2 linked regions of the Astyanax mexicanus genome follow. The protein of the gene in region 1 interacts with the protein of each later gene in a biochemical or structural test. Links are inferred from orthologs where the notes say so. Each region holds a gene or a part of one and is shown on either strand. Other genes may lie near its edges. The genes, in order: pax3a and sox10.

The links.
Region 2: the proteins of pax3a (region 1) and sox10 form a complex in vitro, tested with the Homo sapiens proteins (2 studies listed by BioGRID and IntAct). The link is inferred for Astyanax mexicanus from reciprocal best matches to the Homo sapiens genes PAX3 and SOX10.

What each region holds. Positions count from the first base shown.
Region 1 is NC_064411.1:45,136,782-45,146,408, forward strand, and holds the start of pax3a (paired box protein Pax-3a), read right to left. Parts: upstream 3,695-9,627; 5' UTR 3,339-3,694; coding exon 3,254-3,338; intron 2,225-3,253; coding exon 1,989-2,224; intron 969-1,988; coding exon 839-968; intron 358-838; coding exon 214-357; intron 1-213. UniProt on the Homo sapiens protein: Transcription factor that may regulate cell proliferation, migration and apoptosis. Involved in neural development and myogenesis. Transcriptional activator of MITF, acting synergistically with SOX10.
Region 2 is NC_064410.1:9,706,540-9,716,227, forward strand, and holds the start of sox10 (transcription factor SOX-10), read left to right. Parts: upstream 1-5,459; 5' UTR 5,460-5,612; intron 5,613-9,688. UniProt on the Homo sapiens protein: Transcription factor that plays a central role in developing and mature glia.

The sequences.
Region 1 (9,627 bases):
ACTAAACACCGGTAGTTCATCCATTATACTACTAAAAAAAATAATAATAATATTATTAAATATTAATAATATTAAAATATAAACAGAATCCAGACAGTTGTATTAAAAACACTGGTTGCATTGTCAGATCACACCGCTGTACTTGCAAACACAGTACTACATACAGGTTCTACCCAAAGAAAGTGAGGAACAAAGAAATTCAGTACAACTCACATCTGTCTCCCAAAATGCCATCTATGCTGTGTTTTGCTCTCCTTTCGTTCTCTTCCATTTCCCTCTTTTCGATCTCATCGTCGTCCTCCTCGTCTTCTCCATTCGCGCCAAATTTACAGCGCATTATGCGGCTGATGGAGCTTACTATAGTAGGACAAAATACAGTAATAATACATCCGTTAAACTGAACCTTTCTCTTAAGAAAGAGCGGTAAACTGTTTAAAAATTGCTATTCTGTAACTACCAATTTTGAACAGCTTGCCAATTAATTTAGTTATTTACTTACTTAATTAAAAAAATAACATACTTTCAGTTTTGTTTTTTTACTTAATGTTCTGCATTTTATCTAAATTTTAAATCGGTAATGTTAAGCAGATGCCCACTGGGATGTTTAGCTCTCTCAGCAGGATTTCCCTATAGAAAACCTTTTAGTGTATTATTAAATTTGTGTTAAATTGTGCACGACCTACATACTATATCAAATTGTTTTATTTTTATACCTATAACGTGTAATTTTATATATATATATAATAAAATATATATATATATAATTTTTAAAACTCATAGGAAAGGAAGGAAAATTGTGAACCGGTTAAGAAGCGGGTAAAAAAGAAGTGTGTGTTACCTGAGGGCACAGTGTTTCTGTCACACACTCCATCCTTCAGCAGCTTGTCCCGGATCTCCCAGCTGAACATGCCCGGGTTCTCCCGCTTGTACTCCTCGATCTTTTTGTCCAGGTCGGGACTGGAGTTTTGCTGTAAAAAAAGAAACATCATAAGAAGGAAAAGGTCAGTTTCAGAAACTGGGTGAAAAAAGGTAAAACAGTTCTACACTTTAACTTTCTGCATCTAAATATTCAAAACAAATAAAGAGTATAATAACATAATAACAATAATAATAATAATAATAATAATAATAATAATAATAATAATAATAATACACTGTAGTTATTATTTTATTTTTATAATTTACACATTTTGTATTATTTTTTTATTTCTAAACTAATAAATGAACGGTTGTTTATTTTATATTTTAAAATGTATGTTGTTAAAATAATTTTGTATCGCAATTATTTGTTAAATAAATAAATAACGCAAGCTCTTCCAAAATGATGATTAATTATTGTATTTATTTTTTACTTAAATACTGCCAAAATACTTAAAGTAATAAAAAAAAGTTTAAAATAATTAACGCATAACATGTTACATTTCAATATTATTATAACAGATACATTAATAACACAATAATTCAATAGATAGATAGATAGATAGATAGATAGATAGATAGATAGATAGATAGATAGATAGATAGATAGATAGATAGATAGATAGATAGATAGATAGATAGATAGATAGATTTAGTGTTAATGTTATGACTGTATAACCTAATTTGAGTATTAGATAAAAATACTGGTAGACAGCAAGTTCAGTGTTTCTAAAGAAAACATGGCAGGTTTTTGGTGATATATATTTTTCCACGTCCTCAGGGCTGAGTTAACGAATGCAGTGTTGAATAAACTCTTACAGTGCTGAATGAACTCTCACAGCATTCATTTGTGCCCAGCTGGACTTAAACGGACGCTGCAGGTGTTCATTCAGCACTGGGGGCATTAATTCAGCACTGGGCATTTAGTTGTGCACGTGCATTATTAAACAGTGACTCGCCGTCTTTTAGCACCCTGACCGTTACAGCAGGACAGCGGGCTGAACTTGGAGGACAGGGTATCAGTCCTCCAGAGCTCACACACGGCCTGACTCAACCCTGCGCCGCAGTACCTTGGGCTTGCTGCCCCCGATAGCTCCTGGTCTAATGGATCCGGTCTCCTGGTAGCGGCACAGGATCTTGGAGACGCAGCCGTGAGACACACGCAGCTGGCGAGAGATGACACAGGGCCTGATGCCGTGGTGCGCCATCTCCACGATCTTGTGGCGGATGTGATTGGGCAGTGGGCGCCCGTTGATGAACACGCCGCCGAGTTGGTTTACACGACCCTGTCCTAACGGCGTGGAAACTGTAAGAAAAAAAACATTGTTAGTATACAGATATCTTTAATATAGACTCTCGTAATAATACGTTGTAAACAATGTGCAACAACATGAAAACTAATGAAAAAAGGAATGATAAACAAAATTGCATATGCTGTATTTATTTTGTTTTTAACATCAGTATTAATAGTAGTATCATTAAAGAAATGTAATACTAATAATAATACTACTTCTAATAAAAATAACAGTGCCTTGGCACTTCCTACTTGGACCCCTAATAGCAACGTCATTGCTGACATGCAAAAATCCAAAACATCCAAAATATCACATTTACAGAAGAAGAAAGAAAATAACTTTCAACAGAAGTAAACGTAAAACATATTTAATTTCATATTTAATTCAGATCATTTTCATTGGGTCATTTCCCATGAAATTGTAACACATTGTAAGGAAGAATTGCCAGTTTCAACGTTATAAAAAATGGAAAATGGAGGTACATTTTTTGTGTGACAGCGACGATATGCTTGTAAACTATTGTTGAACGTTTGTCAAACTGTAACCTGTTGCTGGCACCCGTTGTCTTCATTTTACTAAAATATTTTCTAAGTTAAGTTGCAATCATTGCATTATAGGCCTGCATTATTTACTTTATTGTATATGCACTTGCATAAACACATCCTTAAAAGAACAATACATTATTTCAACGAAATCAAACAGTCTGTCAGGACATTACCAGAACTTTTTCGCGGGCATTCAAACGATTATCCTTTAATTCTGACAGTCACAAGACTAAAGGCTTTGGCCCTTAGCGATGAATCTCTATTACACTGTAAACACACAGCAGTCAAACCCCCTCTAACAGCGAGAAGTTACTTTTACTGTGCTAAATAATGTGTGTCCATTTGCACTCGTATAATGGCTGTAGATGTTTAGCGTCAGTGTTCAGCATCTGGTGCTTTGCTGAGGCGTTACTAAAATACCTGTTAGTCTAAATGAAAGGTGTATAGTTTACAGGGTCTGAGGCTTTCAAAACAAGTGGTGCTGCTTCCTCCTACCTTCTAGAGAGTAGCCTCCTCTTGGATAGTTCTGGGGTGGCGTGGGGCGCATCATCCGGGGAATGCCCCCTGCTAAGGCGGCCATAACTCTTGTTTTTCACTCTTCGCACGCTGAAAAAGCGACAAAGAGTGAACTTTATCTAGAAGATGAGTGTGTAAATGCTCCACTTGTGGCTCAGGCTAATGCTGTTTTATCTCTCCAGTTAGCCTGAAGACGTTCCAGAAAGTGTCACTTTCCCTGAAAGTCAACTTCGACGCACACAAAAACATACACACACACACTAGAGACGCAAATCCTCCTCAATGATATGTAAAATAATATCCAAGATAGAAAACTGCTGGAAGAATATCAGAAGTCTGGTCGCTCTTCGCTCTTGTTGACACGTCTGTCGCTGGGTTTGACTCCGCCGCTCAGACCCTAAAACATTTTATCAGTTGTTGAGTTGTAGCGTCCTCCGGCGCGTCGAGCCAGCTGATTGGTCGACAGAAGGAGCCAGAGAAGCGCTCTGATTGGTCCACCGGTAGAAAGTTGCTTGACCTCGAGGGTTCAAGGCGATGTTGCTGTGATTTTGAGTAAACTCTAGCAAGACAAAACGAAAGATTCTGGTTTACTCGTGGAGAAAACCACTCCAGCTTTCTCTTTTTCCTGCTCCGTCTTTCAAAAAGAAATTTACGAAAGTGTCTTGTTTGTGAAATTGGATGAATTTCAATACTAACAGATGATAGTTTCCCCTAACAAAACTCTCCATTTAGCACAACAACATCCAGACGGATACTGAGGGGCGCAAAAAAACAGCAAGTTGTGGTGGTTACGACGGCTGTGGCTCGGTTTTTGTCGTGTTTAGAAAGTGCTTAGCTGCTGAAAGGGGCAGGAGTGGAGGGTCTCAGCAGGGTATGACGCCGAGAGAGCCGTAAAAAGTGTCTGTGAAAAAAAGGATGCGATTGTGAAGAGCCCTTATTTATAACTCTGTGACATTCAGTAGGCCCATACACCTCTCACTCTTTCATGCGTTCTTTGTATCTTGGAATTACTCAGCTTATACTACTCATACAGTCCTCTCTCCCTTTTCTCTCTCTCTCTTTCTGTTCTCCTTTTATATTTCAGTTACTCTGTTTACACATACAACTTTATTTAATTATTTAAGTCTTATTATTTAAGTCTTTCTGCGTATATACTGCATATATCCCGTTTTCCTCATTTTTCTCACTCAGTTTATTGAATTCAGAAAAAAATCACTTCAGTCATTTAATTCATGAGACTCTCTTTTTTCTTTTTGTTACTCCTTAGTCTCTTTCTCTCAATGTCTTTCTCTCACTTTCTCTGTGTCTTTGTATCTTTCAGTTACTCGTCTACTCATACAACTCTCACTCCCTCTCTCGCTTTTTCTTTCCGTTTAGTTCCTCTCTTTTGTAGGAGCTCATTGAGGCCCTCACGTCAGTCAAGTGGTCTCTGTTCATTCAAAGCCCCTCGATCGATCACTAGACTGGAAGAGTGCTATCACACAAAACAATGCTTGGCTTTTTTCTCTACTTAATCACAAAGACTACTGCAGCACGGGATCACTCACACACCCCGCGCCACTGTATACACACTTTTTAGAGTAAAGAATACCTAAGGGGGTGGGTGCACCTGTAAGATCTGTAAATTACAAGTGATTAAAATCTATCTATCTATCTATCTATCTATCTATCTATCTATCTATCTATCTATCTATCTATCTATCTATCTAGTTTCTAGCTAGCTAGCCAGCTAACTTGCAGGCTGGCTATCTATCTATCTATCCTAATGTGACAAATCCGCCGGCTGTCATTCTCGCTATTCCTAGGAGGGTCTCGCGCGGACCGTTAGAGCGGCTCGTGCTCTCCGGGGACCTAAAGGCTAAGCTGCACGGCCCGTTCAGTTCTCTCTCTCTCTTTCTCTTTCTCTCTCTCTCTCTCTCTCTCTCTCTCTCTCTCTCTCTCTCTCTCACGCACATGCACACACAAACACACACACACTTGTAGTGCGCGCGCCGGTCCCAGGTGCTCTATAAACGGATTAGCACTGCTCTACAGCACTTAATACCGCACACTGTAACACACCTCATCATCTCTTCATGCCCGGCCAATGCACCGCTATGGAGACCTAAAACGTGTATCGGAACATATTGATTGTTTAATTAAATGACTGAATACCTAAACAAACAAGTAAATAAATAAGGAAGATTTCAGCAATGCATCATTGGTTAATTTAGGATTTCTGTGAATTACTGAAGTGGAATAATAAGCAACTGAAATATCATATTTTTTAAGTAACGTATGAGCCATGTTAATTAGCGTAATAATAATTTATTTATTGTATTGTTAGCCTCATTATTTTTCTTCTTCTTCTTCTTCTTCTTCTTCTTCTTCTTCTTCTTCTTCTTCTATTAATAATAATTAATATCATTATGACTATTGCTGTTGTTATTACTGTCATCATAACGGTTTTTTTAATGGTATACTCTGCTCCATCAGTTCGCTTTAAATAAATGCGCGGCTCCACCAAAAATCCTCGGAAGGGACGCTGAGAGCAAACGGAACAGCAGCAAAAGATGGAAATGAGGTCTCCATTAAGCGCTCATTCGCTCCATTAACATCTCTGGCTCTTTGTGGACGTGAAAAGAAACTTCAAATGTTGTGTTACCGCAGGGCCGAGGGGACAAAGGCGCACGAGGGGGACGGAGGGAGAGCACACGGGAGGCCATTCACGTGCTAACGGAGGACTTGTTCTTATTCTAACACCAAACTTCACAGGAGATAACTTCAGAGGGGAGCTCGCGATGCTACACTAATTCAATATAAGGTGCATCCGGGACCTTAAGGGGTTCGCCGTTACAATCTTGCGCTTGTCAGTTTGCTTCAGTGATTCAGTGCAAGTAGGCCTGCCTGAAAGTCTATGCGGCCAAATAAGACATTTAGTAATATACCCTTAGTCATTAACACGTTTAAGGTGTGCTTATATTAGTACATTATTAGAGTTAACAGTGACTGATGTCAACGCAAACTAGCACATTTTTCCAACTGAACGAAGAAAACCTTAGAATCAAATGCTCAAAGTATTTTAAGAGAAATGAAAAATACTAAATATACATACATGCAATATACAAAAATACTAAATATACATACTCTGATTAAAGCATTCAGCTACTGTATGTTGCTGAGCACAGTACCATTGCTGGCACAGATGTGCAAATGCACACACAAAGCATGTCTCTCTAGAGCATAAACATGAACCGATTGGCACCATGCCTAATGCCAGGCATGGGCTAGAGGGGTACAAATTCCCCCAGCATTTAGCTATGGAACAGTGGAACTGTTTTCACTGGTGGGTAAATGCCTCATCCAATATTTTTGAGATGAGTTGGTAAGTTTGGGATAAGATGAATAGTCTGAATTCTCTTTTTTGTAAAAAAAAAAAAAAAAATCTACTCAAATAAAATCAAATCCTCACAGCAATGCATCATAATAAAGTACAAAGCCTTTTCTGGACCACAAAGACAGTTTTTCCCAAGAAAAGCCCCAATATTTTGGCAGTATAGTGTAACATTATCTGGTTTTTCAACATATCATCATATTTTGCCACATGGCATATCACCAAGCACACTGTCCTATTTCTAACACACCATCCCATATTATTTAACACACTGTCCAATATTTCCTAGCACACTGTTCCACTGTCCCATTTAACCCAACACACTGCACCATATTACCTAACACAAATTATCTAACACATTTTCCCATATGTAATAAAGTGTCATATTAAACCTAACCTTTCTACATTACCTAACACTGTACAATAACACTGTAAATTACTATATAACGTCCCATAATACCTAACACACTGAGCCACAATATCAGATTACCTAGCACATGGTGCCACATTAATTAACAAACTGTTCCATATTACTTGATGCACTGTTCCATTTTGCCTAACACACTGTCACAAAATGAGTATATGCCTACTAATTCCTAACATACTATCTCACAGTGCCTAACACAGTACCCCATCTGATATCTGATATCCAATAGCATTTTTCTGGATTACATAAAATAGGATTTGTTAAAGGAATAGATAATAGGCCTACAACAACTTTTTAAAACTTAAAATGAGGTCACTGAGATACTGACATTAAGTTTTGAGAACTATCACTAAAATACATTTAGAGAACAATCACTACAATCACTTATAATACCAAATATAATTGCAAATAAACATATTTGGCATCTTAACTTGCAAGAATAAAAAGGATATGGTCAAAAGCAATGGGTATGTGGAATACGCTTTAATTGTGTATAGTATGAAACTGTAAAAGCCATCAAATATGTATATATACATATATAATAACGGTGTACTGCAGGTGTTTGGTGAGTATGTATGTGTGCGCAAATTAGCTTGGATGAGATAAACATGCCGTAATAGCCTAATTTCCTGAACTTTGCTCGAACATGAAACTGGATGTTTGAGAGCAGAATTTCTTGTATATTTACTGCAGCGTTTTAAAAGCCCAATAAACACTGCTTATGATGTTTTGAGGCAGGTCAGATCGGCTGAGGGAGCAGAGCGGGTTTAGCTGTAACTCAACTCCGTCCTAAACTGAGGGGGAAATAGTGCTGGAGAGGCCGTTTGATTGCGCTTAAAGGGACACTGGATATCCATGTCAAATCAATTCTCGAGTGAAAAATCCCAGTCAGAAATTTTCTCCGTCAGTGGGAGAAAAAAAACATCATAAATAAAGAAGCGAATGTCACATTGGAGACGAAGGCAGAAACGCGACGGGTTCACTTGAATCTAAACCAAAATAACCCCTGGGATGCTGGAAAGACTTTATTAAATTCGAGCTTTTTGGGCCTCTGCAGCGTGGACATGCAAAACAGATCAGTGCGGCTCTGGACGCGGCAGATTAGCCAAACAGCAACAGACTGCTGACCTCGGGAAGCTGGCCTTATTTATATTCACATTCAGAGCTGCAGATTTTTAACGTTTAATCGTCTAAAACGCAGTGTAATGCTATGCTATCGTTAGGGGTCCCAGCACTGATGCTGCTGAAGCCCTGTTTGGAACTGGTGAGGCGTATCACACAACTTTCCCCACCAGTCCTCTGACTTCCGCAGCTAGTTATTTCAGGAGACTTTTATATAATCGCCATACCCTTCAGTAATTATTTCCCACACTGTGAAAATCAGTGTTGGTCTAACACTAACGTGACACTAACGTGACGGGATGCTTTCTGGAAAGTTTCCAGTGAACTCTTGCAGGCGATGCCATTATCCCAGCTACAGCTCGCCTGCTGTTTGCTTTTCATGGTAAGTAAATGTTGCCCGCTGATGTTTAGGTTTGTCAGTGTGTCAGGGCAGACAGTCTGTGACACCTAATTTATTTAGCCTATTAATTATTGTTGTTATTGTAGTTATAATCAAAATTAAATCTAAAATCTAAGAAGAAAAATAATCCAAAAACTACATTTTACATTTATTTTATTATTATTATTATTATTATTATTATTATTATTATTATTATTATTATTATTATTATTATACAAGTTATTCGTTATAATTGTATAAAATTCTATAATGCCCAAACAATTAATAAAAAGCATACACACATTATAATATATTTATACTATATGGTTGTCACCGTTAGTTCTGTAACTAATGTATTATTGTACATTTATTATATTATTATAAACTTATGATATTAATATTAGTAATAATAATAACATTGCGTGTCTTATTTCAGTGTTATTATTGTTTTTTGTTTCGGACCTAATACTTTTTACTTTACATACTAAAATATGTATACTACAGTAATATTTATACAATATTATTATTATTATTATTATTATTATTATTATTATTATTATCACTGCTGTTTAAAGTTCTCACAGCAGGTCTAAATAAATGTAATAGCTTGGCTACTTCATCGCTGTGTTTAGTGTCTCTTGCAACGTGCGTGTCAGACCCAGCCTCTGCGATTTACCAATTAGCTGTACCTTCATATCAACAGCCTCTTAAATGAAGTGCAAACTGTGCGTTTGATGGTTTTAATCACATGTTACTTATGAATGTAGCTTAACTGTTTTGAGATCCTTATAGCCCACTGACACCGGTATTCAAAGGAAATTAAGAAAGAAAGAGGCTTTTGCAGTTTAAAGCTGGAGCGTTTGTTGTGCGCGGCCCGCGGGGCATGGAGATGGTGGGGGAACCTGGAGTTTATTGCCCCCGTGGTGAACCTTGGCCCCGGGGCTGGAAGCTCGGTGTTGCCCCTTTACGGGGAGGCAGAGGGCCCTGAGGTAGCGGTGGCTTCCAGCAGAGCTCTCCTCAACAGGTGGTGGACATCAGAGGTGGTCGAGCTG
Region 2 (9,688 bases), on another chromosome or scaffold:
TTCTAAGCTACTCAGTACCTTAGTAGTTCTGGGTCTGTTCGGAATCTCAACACTAGATTGGTTAAGATTTCTCAACACTACATGAGATTGCACCTGTTTGGCTTCAGTTCTATGTTCTGGATCTGCTTGGTTGATGTCTGCTCCATCTGACGTTTATGAGCAGAGATGAAATCACCCTCATCTACATGCACTTCTCATTTCTGACCTTTTCTCTCTCACCCAGGCGCACTTACTCCTCATCTGAATTCAGGAATTCCCCAAGGAATTTTCTCCACCATTTATGGACGGACAAAAGGGCAACCTTTCGTTCTCAGGAAAAAATGATAAACACCCCAAAGATCTCTCTCTCTTTCTCTCTCTCTGTCTCTGTGTGTCTCTGTTTTTATCTCTCTCACTACAGGGAAGTGTGTATACAAATGTGTGTGTGTGTGTGTGTGTGTGTGTATTTGTGATAACTGTACCTTAGAGAGAGCACCCTGTCATGAGATCCACATGGTTCTGGGTTGAGCTTGACCTTTTGACCCTCGTGAGCACGAGGGTCTCTTCCTAACAACATTCACCCTGACAAATGTCTCCCACGGCAACCGGCAGCATCACCACAGTCACATGTTGCTGACAGCACAGCAGTGGTACACACACACACACCGCGCACACACACTTTAAACAGTGTCAGGCTATAACGTTCAAATTATATAAGTTTGTAAAGCATTGAGATAAAACTGCTACTTGGAGATGTTCAACATTTAACAGAATCAGGATTATTTTTGGTGGTTCGGTTTTTCTCTGGTTTTAAACACCAGACCTTAAAAATTACTGATGAATAATAGAGGAGTAATATAATTTTTATAGCAATTCATACTGGATGCGAAAAACGCAGATCATCAGTTTCAGCTCCGATTATGAATAGATTATTGTCATCACCATCATCACTATCAGCATCAGCAGAAAATCACACTTCCCTTCCTGCAGACTAATGCACAACACACACACACAGCGCGTGCTCTCGCTGTTGTCCTTGTTTATTTGAATAATCGCCATTACCCTTAACACACACACACACTGCGCATGTACATCTCTCACAACTATATATGTGAAAAATCTGTTTTATATTGCGCGTTTAAAATATATATATATATATATATATATATATATATATATATATATATATATATATATATATATATATATATGAATATTACGCGCCATATAAAACAGATTATTTTTCTTTTATAGCATCAGTATTAAAATAATTCGTCGTCCTATTATTTGATCATTTAATCAATATTTTTTTATTATTCATATAATATGTGTAAGAATTGTTATACATACGTGAATCATATACTAAAATAATATTACGTTCTTCTTCTTTACTCTTCATCGTTATCATTATCTTCTTCTTCCTTTTATTATTATTATTATTTTTTATTATTATTATGAATATTTTTATAGTTTTGGTTTCTGCTACTACTACTAATAATAATAACAATAATAATAACAATAATAACAATTATTATTGTTATTATTATTACAATTTACAGTTGTTTAGAAATGTAATACTAAACATATCAATAAAAATATATTAAAGCTCGTATTGTTTGTCTTCTTCTTATTACTATCGTTGTTGTTATTATTATCAGTATTGTTTCTAATTTTTAAAGTTAATTAAAAATGATTTATTTGAGCCTTAATTTATTAATAAAAATGTTTAATATTAATTATTATTGTACCATGAACCGTTCTATATCTGTTTACCGTTAGATGTTTAATTTAATTGTTTTCGTTGCGCCTTTAATAACCGCGCGCTGTAATACTTTACTTTTAACGAATTAATACTCTAATTGCTATAAATTCTTATCTCTCACGCGATTCACTAATTTCCGCTATAAAAGGCCAGTTACTACAGTTTTCCCGAAGTTTTTTTTCCAAAGCAATTAATTAATTACATATGCAGTAATTAAATGATTATATTATCTGTGAGTAACTGTAATTACATTGACTGTAATTAATTGATCATATTAGCTGTAATTAACCAATTGCTGCTAGTTAGAACTGTGGAAGTGACACTGCGTACGTTCGCGCGGACTATTAGCAAATAAACAAACAGACATTTACCAAAAAAATTAAGTAGGTATTTTTTTATAATATTAACGATTTTTCAACCAATCAGAATTAGGGCATGAGTATTAAACCTCAGTAATGACCAATGCGCCGACCCTGACATTGACACCTTTGCCTGACATTGTCACGTCATTTAAATATTCATGAGCTTCGCACTGCATAAATTATAATAAATAACACACTTAATAACATATATAATGTATAACACATATTTATACATTTAACAATTTTTACTCAAGTTCAACACGCCCCCCAACCCACACTCAGGCACGAGCACACGCACACACACATGCACAGCTTCCCTGCGCACGCTGATTTTCACCACAGCGCCTGAGCTCACCTGAACAGCCGCACAAACACAATACCAGTATAAACGCACGCACGCGCGGGCGCTTACACTCTCCCATCTTATTCTGTCTGTGCGCGAGCTCTCAACTGAGCTCTTACCTTGGATCATGAGAACCCATAATAGAAAACATTTTCGTACACACACTCACACACACTTCCACACTCACTGAGAGGTGCGCGAGGCCGCAGATCCTGGGATGAGTCCGCGCGCGCCAACAGGCCAGGAAAGGTGCGCTAGCATCGGCGGTAGCTGCATTTTACTGCAAATGTGCGTTTGGAAGGACACGAGGAAGAAAGGACCATCACATACACACACACGCGCGCGCCGAATAGAGAGAGAGAGTCTTTTCTCTTTTCTTTCTCTTTTTTTTCTTTATAAACACAGAACTGCTTTCTGTTCTCATTTCTTCATTTAAAGAGGGGGGGCGCGCGCGTTTGATCACATGATTACAATTCACCTGAGATAAAACAAAGGACGCACAGAGAGGGAGAGAGAGAGAGAGGGAGAGAGATGCTCTCGTGCATCTCCTTATCACACTCCACATTCATGCCTGATGAAAAAGTCAGTGATTTTTTGGAGGTGGAGGAGGGGTGGGGTGTGGGGAGCGCGAGACACACAAACACAGGGCCTTATTGTTAAGCAGAACAGCGTGCGCGTTTGTGTGCGCGTGAGCCCCCCCACCACCATCTCCATCTCTCCTTTCACTATAGACTCTCTCTCTCCATTCTGTAGGTTGTTCTGCTGCTTCTACACATCCATCGCGCGCTCTGCCTCATCGATAAACCCTGATGTACGCGGTTACGCCACACACCAACCTTACAGGCGCGCGATGGATGCCCACCGTTCAACAGTGGCCGAACGACAGCCGCAGTAGCGGCGACGGTGGTGCGCTGCAGGAACTGCGTGCGCGCGCACGCGACAAGAATTTCAAAAGAAAAGGATGTAGATTTATACACTGTTCAGAATAATTTAAACTATTGTAAAATAATTCCATCCGCGCACAACAATTTTCGTTCGTGCAAATGGTACAAAAATCGTATTCATAATAAAAACAAACGTTACATGTAAAATCTAAAGCTTGTAGGCCCACTAATACAATCGCAGTTGAAAAAAATCGTAATATACATCGTAAAAATCGTACAAATACTTTAAATAACTTCAAATCCGTTCACACTTTTCAGAATGTTTTTTTTTTTACTTTTTTTAGTTTCTGTTTTTGCTTTTACAAGAGGGAAAACACCCGCATCAAAAGTGGTGTTGATGGCGATTGTGTGGCACTGGGAGCCCTGCCTGTGCGCGCGCACGGCAAAAAAAAAATCCATACACGAATATTGGAGAATCCCAAACTGTTTTAATCGTTTAAAAAACCCAAAAACGAATTCCAAATGAAACAGAATGAACGAACTTAGATTTCAAAGATAATTGTAAAACTCTTCTACAACGTGCAGCAGCATCTAGTACGTGAGAGGTTGGTGTAAACGTCATCTCCCAGATATCAAAATTACGTTGAATCAATTTATACATATTATTCATATTTCTACACCTAATGCATTGAAACAACGTGGATCAGGGTTGGTTCATTTGTGTCCATCGATTTTACACTTTTACGATTCAACGTTCGTATAAGTTGTACTGTCATTGCAGTGTAAAAATAAATATTTAAATTCGAATATTAATTCATTGTGGAGAGCAGTTTCCACCTAAAATCATTGTTATTTTAAAGCGTCCCAAACATTCAAAGCATTTTAAATGAACTTTGATTTAATGTCGGATTTCAACACTTTCAACACTTAACAATTAAAGGTCGTTTAAAGGTTGTTTTTTTTTCATTAATAATAAAAAAACACATTAATTCAGCGTTCTTGGCTATCAGGACTTCAAACGAATAAAAGTCGACCACACATTAATTTCTCTCTCTGTCTCTCACGTTTTCAAATTTTTTAATGGCATTGATAAAGACAAACAGGCACATAGACATTTAGTCTTTGTAAAGAACACATAACACGAGTCATGGACATTTGCACGTTAAAATATATTATTTTACATAATTACAGCGTGTAACAACTTGTTTTGCTTTGTTTCATTGATTTGAGTTAAATGGAATTGACTGCTACTACTACTACTACTACTACTAATAATAATAATCATAATACTAATACTACTAATAATAATAATAATAGTAATGGCGCTTTAATAGCTATAATTTAACCGTTCGCAGCAGGTGCTGGCTCGGGACTCGGCTGCTCCTGTGTGGGTAACAGAGCCCGTGGGTATCTGCCCCTCTGTGACCCCGCGGGAGAGCGATTTAGAGCGCGCGGGACAGATGAAAGAAGCCGCGCGGAAACATTCAGACGTTCAAACGCAAAACCCGACCACGTGAAGAACGGTCATCTATGCACACACACACACACACACACACACACACACACACACACACACACACACACACACATTTACACATATACACACAGCCACACCGTTTATGTGATTTATGAATAAGATCCAGTTTACACTTTAAATAATTACGACACGTCATTGTTAAAAATAATATATTTTGCCTCAAACAATTCTTAAAGATGCACACGACCAAACAAACAGTCAATAAGTGTGTGCTGAAATTCCACAGTAGCATTGTTGTTTTGGTTCTGTGGTTGTGTGGAAGTTTTTAATAAAATATGTCTCTATATTTAATGTTAATGTTTTTTATTCCTTATAAAAATAGCTCTATAAAGTGATAATAAATGTTATTAAGTTGCAATAACAAATGAAAAGAAATGTAATAAAATTCAAATAATTAAATGCATAAATTAACGAAGCCTCTTTCTGCGCTGCCGATTAGCTGTCGAAGCCCTGCCCCTCCGAACAGACAGCCAATCTCCGAGGCTCTAGCAGCGCGAGGGGCGCTCTTCCCCGCAGCCTATCAGCGGAGAGCTGCTGCAGCTTTAAGGGTCTGAACTATTTTTTTCTCGGGTCGTTTTTTGTTTTGTTTTTTTCTCTCGCGCACAACGGCGCTCTTTAAGTCCCGCGCGCAGCACAGAGAGCGCATTCATACAGCAGCACACGGACACGCGCAGCGGAGGGAGCGCGAGCGAGCGAGCGAGGGAGAGAGAGAGAGTAAGAGAGAGAGAGAGAGAGAGAGAGCGGGGTAAGCACATTATTTAACTTTATTATTATTAATTTAGTTTTAATAATTTAGATTTAATCAGAGGAGAAAGAGAGTTCGCGATAATAACCTAAATGCTAATCTATTATTATTATTATGATTATTGTTGTTATTATTATTATTATTATTATTATTATTATTATTATTATTAATATTATTATTTAATGCTATTACGAATCAAGCGCGCACAGTATGAGGAGCCAATATGAATATATTTAAGAATAAAAATTAATATAAAAGTAATAGGATACGTTTTGATATAGTATAATTCAGAATCGGATTTTTTTTTACAAAATTATATATAATATAGGCATTCATATAATAATAATAATAATAATAATAATAATAATAATAATAATAATAATAATAATAATAATAACATAAAAAACGGTTTATTGATGATTAAACGGATTTATAGACATTAAAAACAGATTTATAAAGAGACTAAATACAATTTTAAACCATCATTTATTCATTTATTTATTTATTTTTATTTTTTCTAGTTTATTTATTTTTATTTTTTCTATTATATTGAGTTATACTTAATTTGGTAGCAACATTTAACAAAATGTATTATTTCAATTACTATCCTTTTGACAAAATTTATTAATGAACTAATGAAACCATTTAATTATAATGTTTTCAGTTTTTTTGTTTGTATTTAAACATAAGTGGTTTGTTTTAGACAGAACAGAGCAGTGAGAGAATTATATCTGAGACAGATCACTGCGAAGCTCCGCTTACACACTCAAAATGAGAACTTGAGCACTTCTGGGGTGTGTTTGAATCTGTGTGTGTTCATAGTTTTATTTTTTTTTAAGTGTTTGTGAATGTTGTGTGTTTAGGTTGGTTGCATATTTTTCTGTGTTTAATTTGAGTGTATATGTTTTGTATGTTTCTGGTGTGTTGTCTGTGGGTTCATGTTGTGTGTATGTTTAGTTTGGTGTATGTTCAGATTTAGTGAATTCTCTGGCTGTTTGTGTGCTTTTGGATTTAGCGTGTCTGTTCTGTTTTTGTGTGTTCCAGTTGTGTGAATTGTAGTTTGGTACGTGTTTGTCTGTTCCGGTTGTGCGTGTGTTCAGATTTAGTGTGTTTGGGTTTGATGTTTGTTCAAGTTATATTTAGACAGTGTCCATGTTGTGTTTATTTAGGTAATATGTGTGTTCAGGTTGGGTGTGTGTTCAGTTTGGGTGTATGTTCGAGCGGTGTTTGTGTTCAGGGTTGGTGTGTGTTCAGGTTGTGTGTGTGTTCAAGTTGTGTGTGTTCAGATTATGTGTGTGTTCAGGTTTGATAAATGTAGGGATGTTTTGTTCAGGTTGACATGTGGTGCATGTTCAGGTTGTGTGTGTTCAGGTTGTGTGTGTGCTCAGGTTCATTGTGTTCCGATGTGTTGTGTGTATAGGTTGTGTGTGTTCAGGTTTGCTGTGGGTTCAGGTTTGTTGTGTGATCAGGTTGTATGTGTTTTTAGGTCGTGTGTGTTCAGATGTGTTGTGTGTTCAGGCTGTGAGTGTTCAAGCTTGTGGGTTCAGGTTGTTTGTGTGTGTGTTCAGGTTTGATGAATGTTCAGACTTGGTGTGTGTTGAAGTTGTGTGTTTGTTTGTGTTCAAGTGTTTGTGTTTGTTGGTTGACATGTGGTGCATGTTTGGGTTGTGTGTGTGTTCAGGTTGTGTGTAAATGTGAGTTTAGGTTGTGTGTGAATGTGTGTTCAGGTTGTGTGTGTTCAGGTTCATTGTGTTCTGATGTGTTGTGTGTTCAGGCTGTGAGTGTTCAAGCATGTGCGTTCAGGTTGTGTGTGTGTTCAAGTTTAATGAATGTTTAGATGTTTGTGTTTGTTGAGGTTTTGTGTGTTTTTGTGTTCAGGTTTGGTTAAGTGTGTGTTCCGGTTGAGTGTTTTCTGATAAGTGTTCAGTTTTTGTGTGTTCAGGTTAGGTGTGTTCAGGTTGAGTGTTTTCTGATGTGAACTCAGGTTTTTGTGTGCTCAGGTTGTGTGTGTTCAGTTTGGGAGTGTGTTCAGATTTGTTATGTGTTCAGGTTCAATGTGTTCAGGTTGTGTGTGTTCAGATGTGTTCTGTGTTCAGGCTGTGAGAGTTCAAACATGCATGTTCGAGTTGTGTGTGTTCAGGTTGTGTGTTTTCAGGTTTAATGTATGTTCAGAATTGGTTTGTGTTCAGGTTGTGCGTGTGTGTCTTTGTGTTTCGGTTTGGTTAATTGTTTGTTCAGGTTAACGTTTGGTGTGTGTTCAGGTTATGTGTGTTCAGATTGTGTGTGGATGTATGCTCATGTTGTGTGTGTTCAGATTTGTTATGTGTTCAGGTTCAATGTGTTCAGGTTGTGTGTGTTCAGATATGTTGTGTGTTCAGGCTGTGAGAGTTTAAGCATGCATGTTCGGGTTGTGTGTGTTGAGGTTTAATGTATGTTCCGAATTTTTGTGTGTTCAGGTTGTGTGTGTGTGTCTTTGTGTTTCGGTTTGGTTAATTGTTTGTTCAGGTTAACGTTTGGTGTGTTCAGGTTATGTGTGTTCAGGTTATGTGTGAATGTGTGTTCAGGTTTGGCATGGTGTTCTGGTATGATGCTTGTGTTTAAGTTGTGTATGCGTGTTGAGGTTGAGTGTGGGTGTGGGTGTGTGTGTGTGTGTGTGTGTGTGCGCACTGGGGTGGGGTGGAGGGTGGTGGGGGGTGCAGATTTGGTAGCTGGCATGCAGGAATTAGGGGCACATAATTCTAGAATTACCCAGCGGAGCGCGAGACACAGAGCAGGGTCACAGTCCAATACAGCTGAATAAACAACAACAGCATACAATAAATAAACAGTAAACAACAACACACTGTAAATGCACAATAAATAAACACATTAGAGTTGCAAAGATAGTGTACTCTACAATACATTTTGTAATACACAATAGATGGTTTATAATATAGATGGTGTAGTATAGTATAGTATAGATAGTGTAGTATAATACAGATGCTGTAGTATAGTATAGATGGTGTAGTATAATATAGATATTGTGGTGTAGTGTAGAATATTTAATGTAGTATAGATGCTGTAATGTAGTATAAATAATGTAATGCAGTATGCAATGTGAAGTACAGTTGGTCTAATGTAGAGTAGAATGTGTACTGTTGTGTAGATGGCATAGTATCCATGTTGTAAAGTAGTGTAGATGGTGTAGTGTAGTGTGAATGGTGTAGTGTAGTGTGGATTGTGTAGTGTAGTATAGATGGTGCAGTATAGATGTAGTATAGATGGTGTAGTGTAGTGTAGATGGTGTAGTATATATGGTGTAGTGTTATGTAGATGGTGTAGTATATATTGTGTAATGTAGTGTAGACAGTGTTGTGTAGATGGTGTAGTGTAGTATAGTTGATGTTATGTAGTATAGATTGTGTAGTGTAGTTGATGTGATGTAGTATAAATAGAGTAGTTTAGTCTAGATGGTGTAGTTTAGTATAGATGATTTGATGTAGTATAGATGATTTGATGTAGTATAGATGGTGTAGTGTAGATGATTTGATGTGATATAGATAATTTGATGTAGTATAAATGGTGTAGTGTAGTATAGATAATTTGATGTAGTATAGATGATTTAATGTAGTATAAATGGTGTCGTGTAGTATAGACAATTTGATGTAGTAAAGATATTTTGATGTAGTATAGATGTCATCTTTTAATGTAGATGGTGTACTATAGATGGTATTGTGATATATAGATGGTGTAGTATATATAGTGTAGTGCAGTGGAGACGGTGTACTATAGATAGTGTTGTAGATGGTGTAGTTTAGATGATTTGATGTAGTATAGATGGTTTATTGTAGATGATTGGAGGTGGTATAGATGATTTGATGTAGTGTAGATGGTGTAGTGTAGAGGATTTGTAGTATAGATAATTTGATGTAGTGTAGATGGTGTAGTGTAGTATAGATGGTGTAGTGTAGTGTAGATGGTGTAGTGTAGAGGGTTTGTAGTATAGATAATTTGATGTAGTATAGATGGTGTAGTGTAGTGTAGATGGTGTAATGTAGTGTAGATGGGGTAGTGTAGAGGATTTGTAGTATAGATGA